Xenopus tropicalis: one gene and its partner. The protein of the gene in region 1 binds, or shares a complex with, the protein of each later gene. Links are inferred from orthologs where the notes say so. Each region holds a gene or a part of one and is shown in the gene's direction. Other genes may lie near its edges. The genes, in order: fnip1 and lamtor5.

Region 1 (4,546 bases):
CCCTGATTCTTTGTGCTGCAGGGTTCTACCTACTCCCTACTCTCCCTGATTCTTCATGCTGCAGGGTTCTACCTGCTCCCTACTCTCCCTGATTCTTAATGCTGCAGGGTTTTGGATGCTCCCTACACTTCTGCCTGCTCCCTGATTTGTGTATGCTGCATCATTGTACCTTCTGTACCGTCATTCTTTGTGCTGCAGCATTCTACCTGCTCCGCAATTTGTCCATGTTGCAGCATTCTACCTGCTTCCTACATTTTCGTGCTGCAGGGTTCTACCTGCTTCCTCCTCTCCCTGATTCTTCATGCTGCAGGGTTCTTGACGCTCCCTACACTCCCTGATTCTTCCTGCTGCAGGATTCTACCTGCTCCCTACACTCCCTGATTCTTCATGCTGCAGGGTTCTACCTGCTCCCTACACTCCCTGATTCTTCCTGCTGCAGGGTTCTACCTGCTTCCTCCTCTCCCTGATTCTTCCTGCTGCAGGATTCTACCTGCTCCCTACACTCCCTGATTCTTCATGCTGCAGGGTTTTACCTGCTCCCTACACTCCCTGATTCTTCCTGCTGCAGGGTTCTACCTGCTTCCTCCTCTCCCTGATTCTTCATGCTACAGGGTTCTTGACGCTCCCTACACTCCCTGATTCTTCCTGCTGCAGGATTCTACCTGCTCCCTACTCTCCCTGATTCTTCCTGCTGCAGGATTCTACCTGCTCCCTACACTCCCTGATTCTTCATGCTGCAGGGTTCTACCTGCTCCCTACACTCCCTGATTCTTCCTGCTGCAGGATTCTACCTGCTCCCTACACTCCCTGATTCTTCATGCTGCAGGGTTCTACCTGCTCCCTACACTCCCTGATTCTTCCTGCTGCAGGGTTCTACCTGCTTCCTCCTCTCCCTGATTCTTCATGCTACAGGGTTCTTGACGCTCCCTACACTCCCTGATTCTTCCTGCTGCAGGATTCTACCTGCTCCCTACTCTCCCTGATTCTTTATGCTACAGCATGCTACCTAATTCGTGTATGATGTAGCATTCTACATGCACCCCACAACCTGTTCTGTGCTAAGGTTCAGGGGTAAACTGACTTGTAACTTTTATTTTGAGCACTGTCAGCAGTTTTAAGTGTATAAAATGATATAATTAGAAACATCTAACTCTATTAAAAGATCATTAAAGGATTCAAGAGCACTTAAAGATTCCCTTATTATAGTATCCATTTTTACATTTTGAAGTTTAAAAAATGGTATAACCACACTCACTGACTACCTGTCATGGGGTTATGTTGGAGGATGTGACAGGCTAGAGGGATCAGGGAGTAGGTAGAATAGTACCAAATAGAGGGATCGGGGAGCAGAAAGGAGAAAGTATGAGGTACCTAGGAACTACTGTTTACACACAGGTAGCAAGCAAGCACAGGAGGCAGAGAGAGGTGGAGAGAGGAAGCAGGGCGGAGGGAGGTGGGCGAAGGGAGGAGGAAGCAGAACAGTGTAAGATACAGCCCGGAACAGTCGCTGACACTTTGTGGGATTACTCAGAACTTAACGGGGTGACAACATAATTAATTTTTAGTAACAGAATACAATTGAGACGCATTGTCATTTTGCACACATATGTCCTAAAATGGACACCGTACACATACAAACAAAACACAACGAGCCCAGGCCAATTGTCTGCGGCTGCGAGCCAGCCAATCACAGGACTGCTTACATTTCTCCCTCCGCCGTTTTCTCTCCAGGAAGTGGCTGGCAGGAACCTGGGAGGGGTGAGTGCCCTGAATTCCCGCCCCCTTAAGCACATCTGACAGCCGAGGGTGTCAAGCGGAGAAGCAGTCATATGACTTGGACACAGATGGGGAGCTAAGTGTGTAGTGAGGGAAACAGAAGAATGGCTCGCTGCTGGGGGAGATAGTGTAACTTTACCAAAAAAATGCCGCCCACTCTCTTCCAGAAGCTTTTTAGTAAGCGCAATGGGCAGGCGTTTCCCAACAGGGACCCGAGAGAAGACTATGTTTTCAGGTACCTTTTTACTACGAGTTTATATCTGTGTATTATTTCCCCTTGCTTGCTCACATCGCTGGGCTTTTTGTTTGCTGCTATCTGCTGAAGGCTTTGGGGCTTCCCTACCTCAGTGGCTTACCTAGAATGAGGATGCAGCCCATGTTTGCCATTAGTATTGCATTCTGTGTCTCTTTGAGCTGTTGCTTGTGCTCCATCTATACTGCAAGCAACACTGGCAAACCCCAAAGCACCATTGGGCCAAATACAGTTCTGAGCAACTTTTCAACATACATTAATAATGTTAACAGCTGTTGAAAGCATTATCTGTCTCATTAGTTTTTTATCTACTGCAAAACTATTGGTATTAAAATGGGAAACCTTTTGCAGCATTTTGTTTATTAAGAGGTAGCAAGATAATATGCCCTTGTTACAGGTATAGGACCCATTATCCAGAATGCTCAGGGTTTTTCGGATAAGGGGTCTTTCCGTAATTTAGATCTTCATACCTTAAGTCTACTAAAAAATCAATAAAACATTAATTAATCCCAATAGGATTGTTTTGCATCAGATAAGGATTAATTATATCTTAGTTGGGATACTGTTTTATTTTTAGAGAGAAAATTTTTAAAAAAATATGAATTATTTGATTAAAATGGAGTCTATGGGAGACAGACTTTCCGTAATTTGGAGCTTTCTGGATAACGGATCCCGTACCTGTGCTAGCAGTTATTTATAGGCTGTATTGTGAAGCCTTTATAATCATTCTGTCTCATCAAGTTATCTGTGGGTGTGAGACCACCATGGTGTAAAGACAGTGCTCTTGCAGCCTTGGAGTTTACTGCTGCATTGCCTTTGCTAACGGCCAAATCATTCCACTGAGTCTGCTGGAAAAATCCTTTGCCTTTGTGAGACAAAAGTATCAGTAACACTGAGTAGTCATGTGAAAGCTTGCAAGGGGTCATTTTGGACATGGAAAAGTGTCAGGTCTCCTTTCAGAGAGGCAGGCACATACTTTTCTCAAGGCTTATCTGTTCTTTTCATATATAAAGTAAAAACATAGGCTCTTTGCAACAGCCTGGCAATAAAACCATGAAGGTTGGCAAAAGGAAGCAAGAAATACAGGGCAAATAGAGTTAGAGAAGGACTTTGAATTCTTGATCAGACAAATTTACAATTCATTTTACTATATTATTTTGGTCACATTATGTGATCGAAACGTTGATATCTGCACATTAAAGATTCTTTTTGATTATTTTCAAATCCTGTGAGTGCGGAGTCCTTCGTTATCTACATGGTTATTTCCTCACCTGGCACCCAGTCAATTTACTGATTTTTTTTTGGTGAGTGCCCTCCCTGTATCATGTTATATATAAAACAAAAGCTTAAAAAAGCTCTTTTTACCACCATTGGAACATGTGAAGACTGTACAGCGCATGTGCCAGTTAGTGAGTGGGTACTTGGAGATCCAGTGCCTAGGGCAGCACTGGTGCTTTGTTTTAGGCCTTTGCCTCATGTCTTGTAGTTTTCTATTTGTAGCAGATAAAAATGTGTTTCATTGTTTTGTATGGGGTTTGCCACATAGACTACTAATTGTAGCACAGACACATGATAAACATAAAATCGGTTTTAAAGATGCTAAGGTTTAGGAACACAAGGTATATTTTCTTTCTTACAGGTATATAAGTAGGATACAGGTATAGAATCCATTATATGTAAACCTGTTATTCAGAAAGCTCAGAATTACGGGAAGACCATCTCACATATAGTCCATTTTAAGCAAATAATTGCTGCATTTCTGACCTATTTCTTTATGTATGGTGATCCAAGTTATGGAAACACTCCTCATCCAGAAAAGCCACTCTTTCTGGATAAAAGGTCCTATATCCATATTAACTCTAATTTCAGTTAACTTTTAGGTCTAGAATTATCAACTGTTTGCTGACAAAATACCTTTACATTCACACTCTTATAACCAATGGAAAAACAAATGTTGGGTCATTTTGCCATAGTTATTTTTGCCTACGATTCAGTTTAAAAAACCCAAAACTTTTATTTTGTGTAAATTTCAGGAAGACATAAAATCCAGGGAAAAAAAACCCCGCAGGTTGCCTATATGGGATAGAATGGCAATTAAAGAATGTAAAATCCAAGAATGTAAAGTCAACATTTTACTATATGTATTTTTCACTAAGGTATAGGACTTGAATTTGGTTTTTGTCCTGTAGAATAAAATGGTTTATGTCTAGCTGGAGAACACTTCCTGTAGAAAAAAAAATAAACGGCAAAATACTTTGAACAAAGAGCTAGATTTTAAGAATTAAATTTAGACTGTTATGACATGTTTCTTAAAGTCAGAGAAAGCATTAGAAATGTGGAAAGAAAATCAAAAAGCATAAAATGCTAAATTTTATGGGGAAAAATAAATGTTGCCCTTTTAAGAGAATGCAGGAAATAATTATTTTTTAAATATCTTTCCACCTTTTATGGCACATGGATTTCTTGTAGCTGGATAAATTAAAGTTTATCCAAGTTGCATGCAGTATGTAATGTGTT
Region 2 (4,580 bases), on another chromosome or scaffold:
AAAGCGAAGTAAAGTTGCTCTTAGTAAAATTTTAAGCAATAGCACCATCTGCTGGTTATATCTAGTACTTATGTAATTATATTTCATTTACCTGTGTAATTTCTGTAAAACAGAACATTTAAATTGTTTGTTGCCTTGCTCCTTTTCCACAAACAAATGTTTAAGGTGGCCATACTTAAAGATCCGCTCGCCTTTCGAGGTCCCTTCTCCCGATATCCCCATCAACAGGTGGCGATATCGGGGGAATTTAGGTTAATTCGGTCATTTGGCCCTGGGGAGCCAGTCGGTTGGGGGACCACATCAACGAGCCGATACGGTCGCCGATCCAACTGAATTTTTTAACCTGCCGATCTATATCTGGCAATTTTAGGCCAGCTATCAGTCGGGCAGGCAGTCGTTGCTGCCCCTACACGGGCCGATAAGCTGCCGAATCAGTCCAAGGGACCAATATCCGGCAGCTACAATCAGCCTGTGTATGGCCACCTTTAGTGTTCAAGAGAGAGATAAGCTTGTAGCAGCCTAGAGTATTGTAGTGTTTTACCCTATTACAGCGTGACTGCAATGTGAGCTTATGTAAAGAATGTAACTGTATCTGTGTTTTCCCATATGCTAGTATAGGATGGGTTTTCTCGTAAAATATTGAAAAATCTTGACACTAAGCCGTTTGGGCCCATACCCTTAACTGTGGGAGCATCCTGTTAGAATAAATGCATGCTACTCTATGCAAGGGCACCCTCTCCTGTTTTTTATTGAACAGTCTGGCAAAAACCACCATTTGTGCCGAGTGGCACAAGAATTGAAAGTGAATAGTGATCATTTTTATATGACCCGGACATAAGTCCAATAGCATAACTCTTAGTTTCTCATTCAAAAGACCACTTCTGTCAAGCTTCTGGTTGCACTCTGCACCCTAGGCCTAATAAACAATCCAGCATGAGGTGAGGAATAACATGCAAGTTAAGGATTGGGCAGGTAGTAGTAGGGGGAATTTACATCTGTCCTTGCCCCAGTAGAGCTTTCAGTTCTTACCACATTCACAAACTCTGTGGTTATGTTTATCAATAGCCACTTAACTTAACTAAGGTGAACAAACCCTTTAATATATATTTTAGAAATATTTTATTTCCTTTGATTGAAGCCCACCACATCCATTTGGGAGAAGAAACAACGTCATGTGCAGTAACAAATCTAGAGCTCCATGGAACTGGGTGTAAAATTCACTCTGGACATTAACCCACGTGACACCCAAAGTCAGTTAACCCTCTGTAAACACTAAATTGCAAAAGGAAGTCAAGAAACCAAAATGGACAAGAATCCTACTGTCAGGCCAGTAAAAACAGTAATCAAGAAACCTATTCTCAGAGTATGTTAGCTTTGTATGAAGCATTGTGCATTGTAGCGGAACCACCATTAAGCCAAAGCATATTAATAGTATTTTTCATTCATTGATTTTTCTTAATAGCGCCAGAGCTTCAAATACTGCAAACGAAAACTCCCATTAGCCCCACCTTCTGTCTAACAGTCAGCTGACCGGGAGGGTCACATGAGCAAACACCCGGAAGAGGAACTGCTTTAAGGTTTTTTTGACAGGAAGAAGAGACTCAGCTATGGAAGCGGCTCTGGAGCAGCATTTGGAAGATACGTGAGTGCTCTGTAAACACATACTAAGGAAAATAAAATTAATTGGTTTTTTTCAATTAGTAAAATCAGGACATTTAAAGCGAAAGAACAGAAATAATTCAAACAGACAGAAATGCACTTCAGAACTTGAATTTCGTAACGTGTCTTTAAGTTTGCTGGTAATAGTTCAGATTCTCTTATTTTTAATCATTCCTACATGCGTGATCTCACTCAGGAGAGGAAATCGTGGGGGGAGGAAGCGGTGAACACTGTCACTGTTCATTCGGAGACTGGGGCATCTGGGGGAGGGGGTATAAGCATAAGTGTGAGCTATTAGTTACACAAGGTAACGACCATGTTGTTGCTGTTAGGCGGGTAGGCAGTTGAAGAGGGGATGTAAATTCGGATGCACAGATTAATTGCAAGGAAGTTGTTGGAGGGGTTTACTCGAAAAGCAGAGGAGGCCTTGGAGTTTTTGTTAGGAGGAAGCAGTGCAATATCAGGCATGGAGGTTTGGGGAGTCATGAGTTAACTGCATGTAAATCCTTATTGGGGGTGAGAAGGCTCATGAAACTGTGTAGGTGAATTGGGTGGCAGAGGTGGCCATGCAGTTATGTGTAAGGAAATGGCACAAGTGGCTGGCAGGTAGGTTATGTGAGGAGGATGATGGAGTGGAGTTGTGTAGGTGGGCAAAGTGGCATAACTGAAAGGGATGGGGGCTGTGCATGTTTTGATGGAGTCAGGCATACTGGCTCTTGTGTGGAGCTGAAACGTCGGATTAATAAAAACCATGTAAGATATTGCTAAAAAACTTTTTTGGTGAATATTAACCAAAGTCCTGTGAGTGCTAACCTTTATTGCAATTGTGTGTATATATATATATATATATATATCTGTATTCATTGGTGCGTGCATAGGTGCTCATATATACATGCGTATGTGTGTATGAAAGTGCTTATATATGTGCACATATAGACACATATATAAGTAAATATTTAGGTGCACATGTGTATATATGTGCATCAATATGTGTGTAATTGTATGTGTATATGTGCAACAACACGTGTGTACATATAGGTCTGTAAATAAGTGTATATATAGATGTGTGTTTGTGTCCAAGCAGACACACAACCATGTGGCTTCCTTGTTTGACTCTACACCTGGAATTTTACTTAACAAATACATTCATGGTCTTGATCCTCTGCTAGTGAGTATTTTCTAGTGCATGATCTGTATAGAGGTGTTTAATAAACGGGTTGCACAGATCGATCTGCCCACAGTGCGATCACATATTATTGATTCCTTAACCAAGATTCAACTTTATTTAAACACTTGATTATATTTCTGACTATTTTACTCTAATATTCTGACTTTCACGGTACATCCCTGACATCTAGCTTCATAAAAAGTGTTACTCTTCTTAGACCTTGTGGTTATTCTCTTGTACTTTCTATTTTGTCCATTTAGTATTCTTTTTTTATTGCCTGTCTATATAATTTTTGTTATTATTTATTTTTGATATAATTTTGATCTCTGTCTGGTAACGTAGGATTACGTCATCTCCACTTTTTCCCACCACTGTGTGCTTTTTAGACACTGAGTTTGTTGTATTCACCACTTTGATAAAGGCTAGAGTGCTAGCCGAAATTTTAGTCTCCTATATAATAAAACAACAAGTCCTGCGAGTACTGACACTTCCTCCAGTATATTCAATAATTTTTGGACCTGAGTGAGTGAGTGCCGGCATCTATTTGGAAGTATATATATATTTCTGAGAAAAGTTGTGTTGTTTAATACTGACACAAGAAACATCAGAGACTGACTAATTGTCTAAACTTTGCAACATCATCTTTCTTTTCCCCTGACTATAAGGACAAAATGGCAGCTATGGCCACTCTATCACTTTTTAAATTTGTTTGGTTAATCTATAATAATCTATATCTATAATATCCTATGAACTAGTAGAGATGATATAGCTGAAATAGCTTTCAGATAGGTAACCAGTATTTGTTTGGTATCTTGACACAAGTGTTTTGCCGTTCCTTACTTTTTCAGAATGAAAAATCCATCAATTGTTGGAGTTCTGTGTACAGATTCACAGGGGCTAAGTCTGGGATGTGAGTACCCTTTTACATTGGTTTTGTGTATAATATTGAAAATTGATGTAAATTGCAAAAGTACTCTGAGGAACACTCTGAGTAAGGTTAACAAATTCATTTTTAGGCTTAATTCAAATAAACAGCTGTGGAAATCCTTCCCAGAAGAGTAGAGGCTATTATAGCAGCAAACGGAGGAACAGCTTTATATTAATTACGTTGCTCTGAGAATTACCTTTGACCATTTGGTGTAGCTGCTGAACTTCCAATATTTGTCTTATGTGAAGGCTCCCTCTCCCTTTTATGGAGATTGCTATCTGTTACTCTGCAGCCAAAGTAATCTGTGAAAGAGTCAGTAGAAACAAACAGACTCTTGCATGGGGGTACTGACCCCTTTGGTAAACCCTGTTAAGTAACACAATAGGTTTTTAATCCATTGGTCACCTGGGCTGAAGGCACCATGGCCTGCACACACACAACCATGCCCCTGATCCCCTCATCATGCTTCATTAGTCCAAAACCCTGCCTACTCCATGCAAGCCCCACCCTACTTGTGTTTTTAATTCTCTTGGGGCCCCTGACAGCAGCAGACAATATATGCCAAAAGCCAAGAACAGAAGCTTCTGTACCTGCGTTGCTGAGTCTTTGTGCTCCCACCACAAAATACTCGTGATCACAAGGTTCACTTTCCCTCTGAAATCAGCAGTGGCTTAGCACTTGCAAACCTGTCCTTGAGGCTGCCTTTTTTAAAAAAAAAAAAAAAAAAAAAACAAACTTTTTTTTGGAGGTGTAGGGTAGGTTTGGGTAGGCTAATGAAAATTCTCTCATGACAATAAGCTCCACTGGGACAGACTGAAGTGAATG

What was found.
Region 2: fnip1 (region 1) and lamtor5 share a complex: the UniProt entries of both Homo sapiens proteins name them as parts of the lysosomal folliculin complex. The link is inferred for Xenopus tropicalis from reciprocal best matches to the Homo sapiens genes FNIP1 and LAMTOR5.

Annotation. Positions count from the first base shown.
Region 1 is NC_030679.2:36,018,161-36,022,706, reverse strand, and holds the start of fnip1 (folliculin-interacting protein 1), read left to right. Parts: upstream 1-1,741; 5' UTR 1,742-1,922; coding exon 1,923-2,011; intron 2,012-4,546. UniProt on the Homo sapiens protein: Binding partner of the GTPase-activating protein FLCN: involved in the cellular response to amino acid availability by regulating the non-canonical mTORC1 signaling cascade controlling the MiT/TFE factors TFEB and TFE3.
Region 2 is NC_030678.2:72,305,953-72,310,532, reverse strand, and holds the start of lamtor5 (ragulator complex protein LAMTOR5), read left to right. Parts: upstream 1-1,515; 5' UTR 1,516-1,607; coding exon 1,608-1,642; intron 1,643-1,994; exon of another isoform or gene 1,995-2,162; intron 2,163-2,192; exon of another isoform or gene 2,193-2,233; coding exon of another isoform or gene 2,234-2,265; intron 2,266-3,675; coding exon 3,676-3,737; intron 3,738-4,580. UniProt on the Homo sapiens protein: As part of the Ragulator complex it is involved in amino acid sensing and activation of mTORC1, a signaling complex promoting cell growth in response to growth factors, energy levels, and amino acids.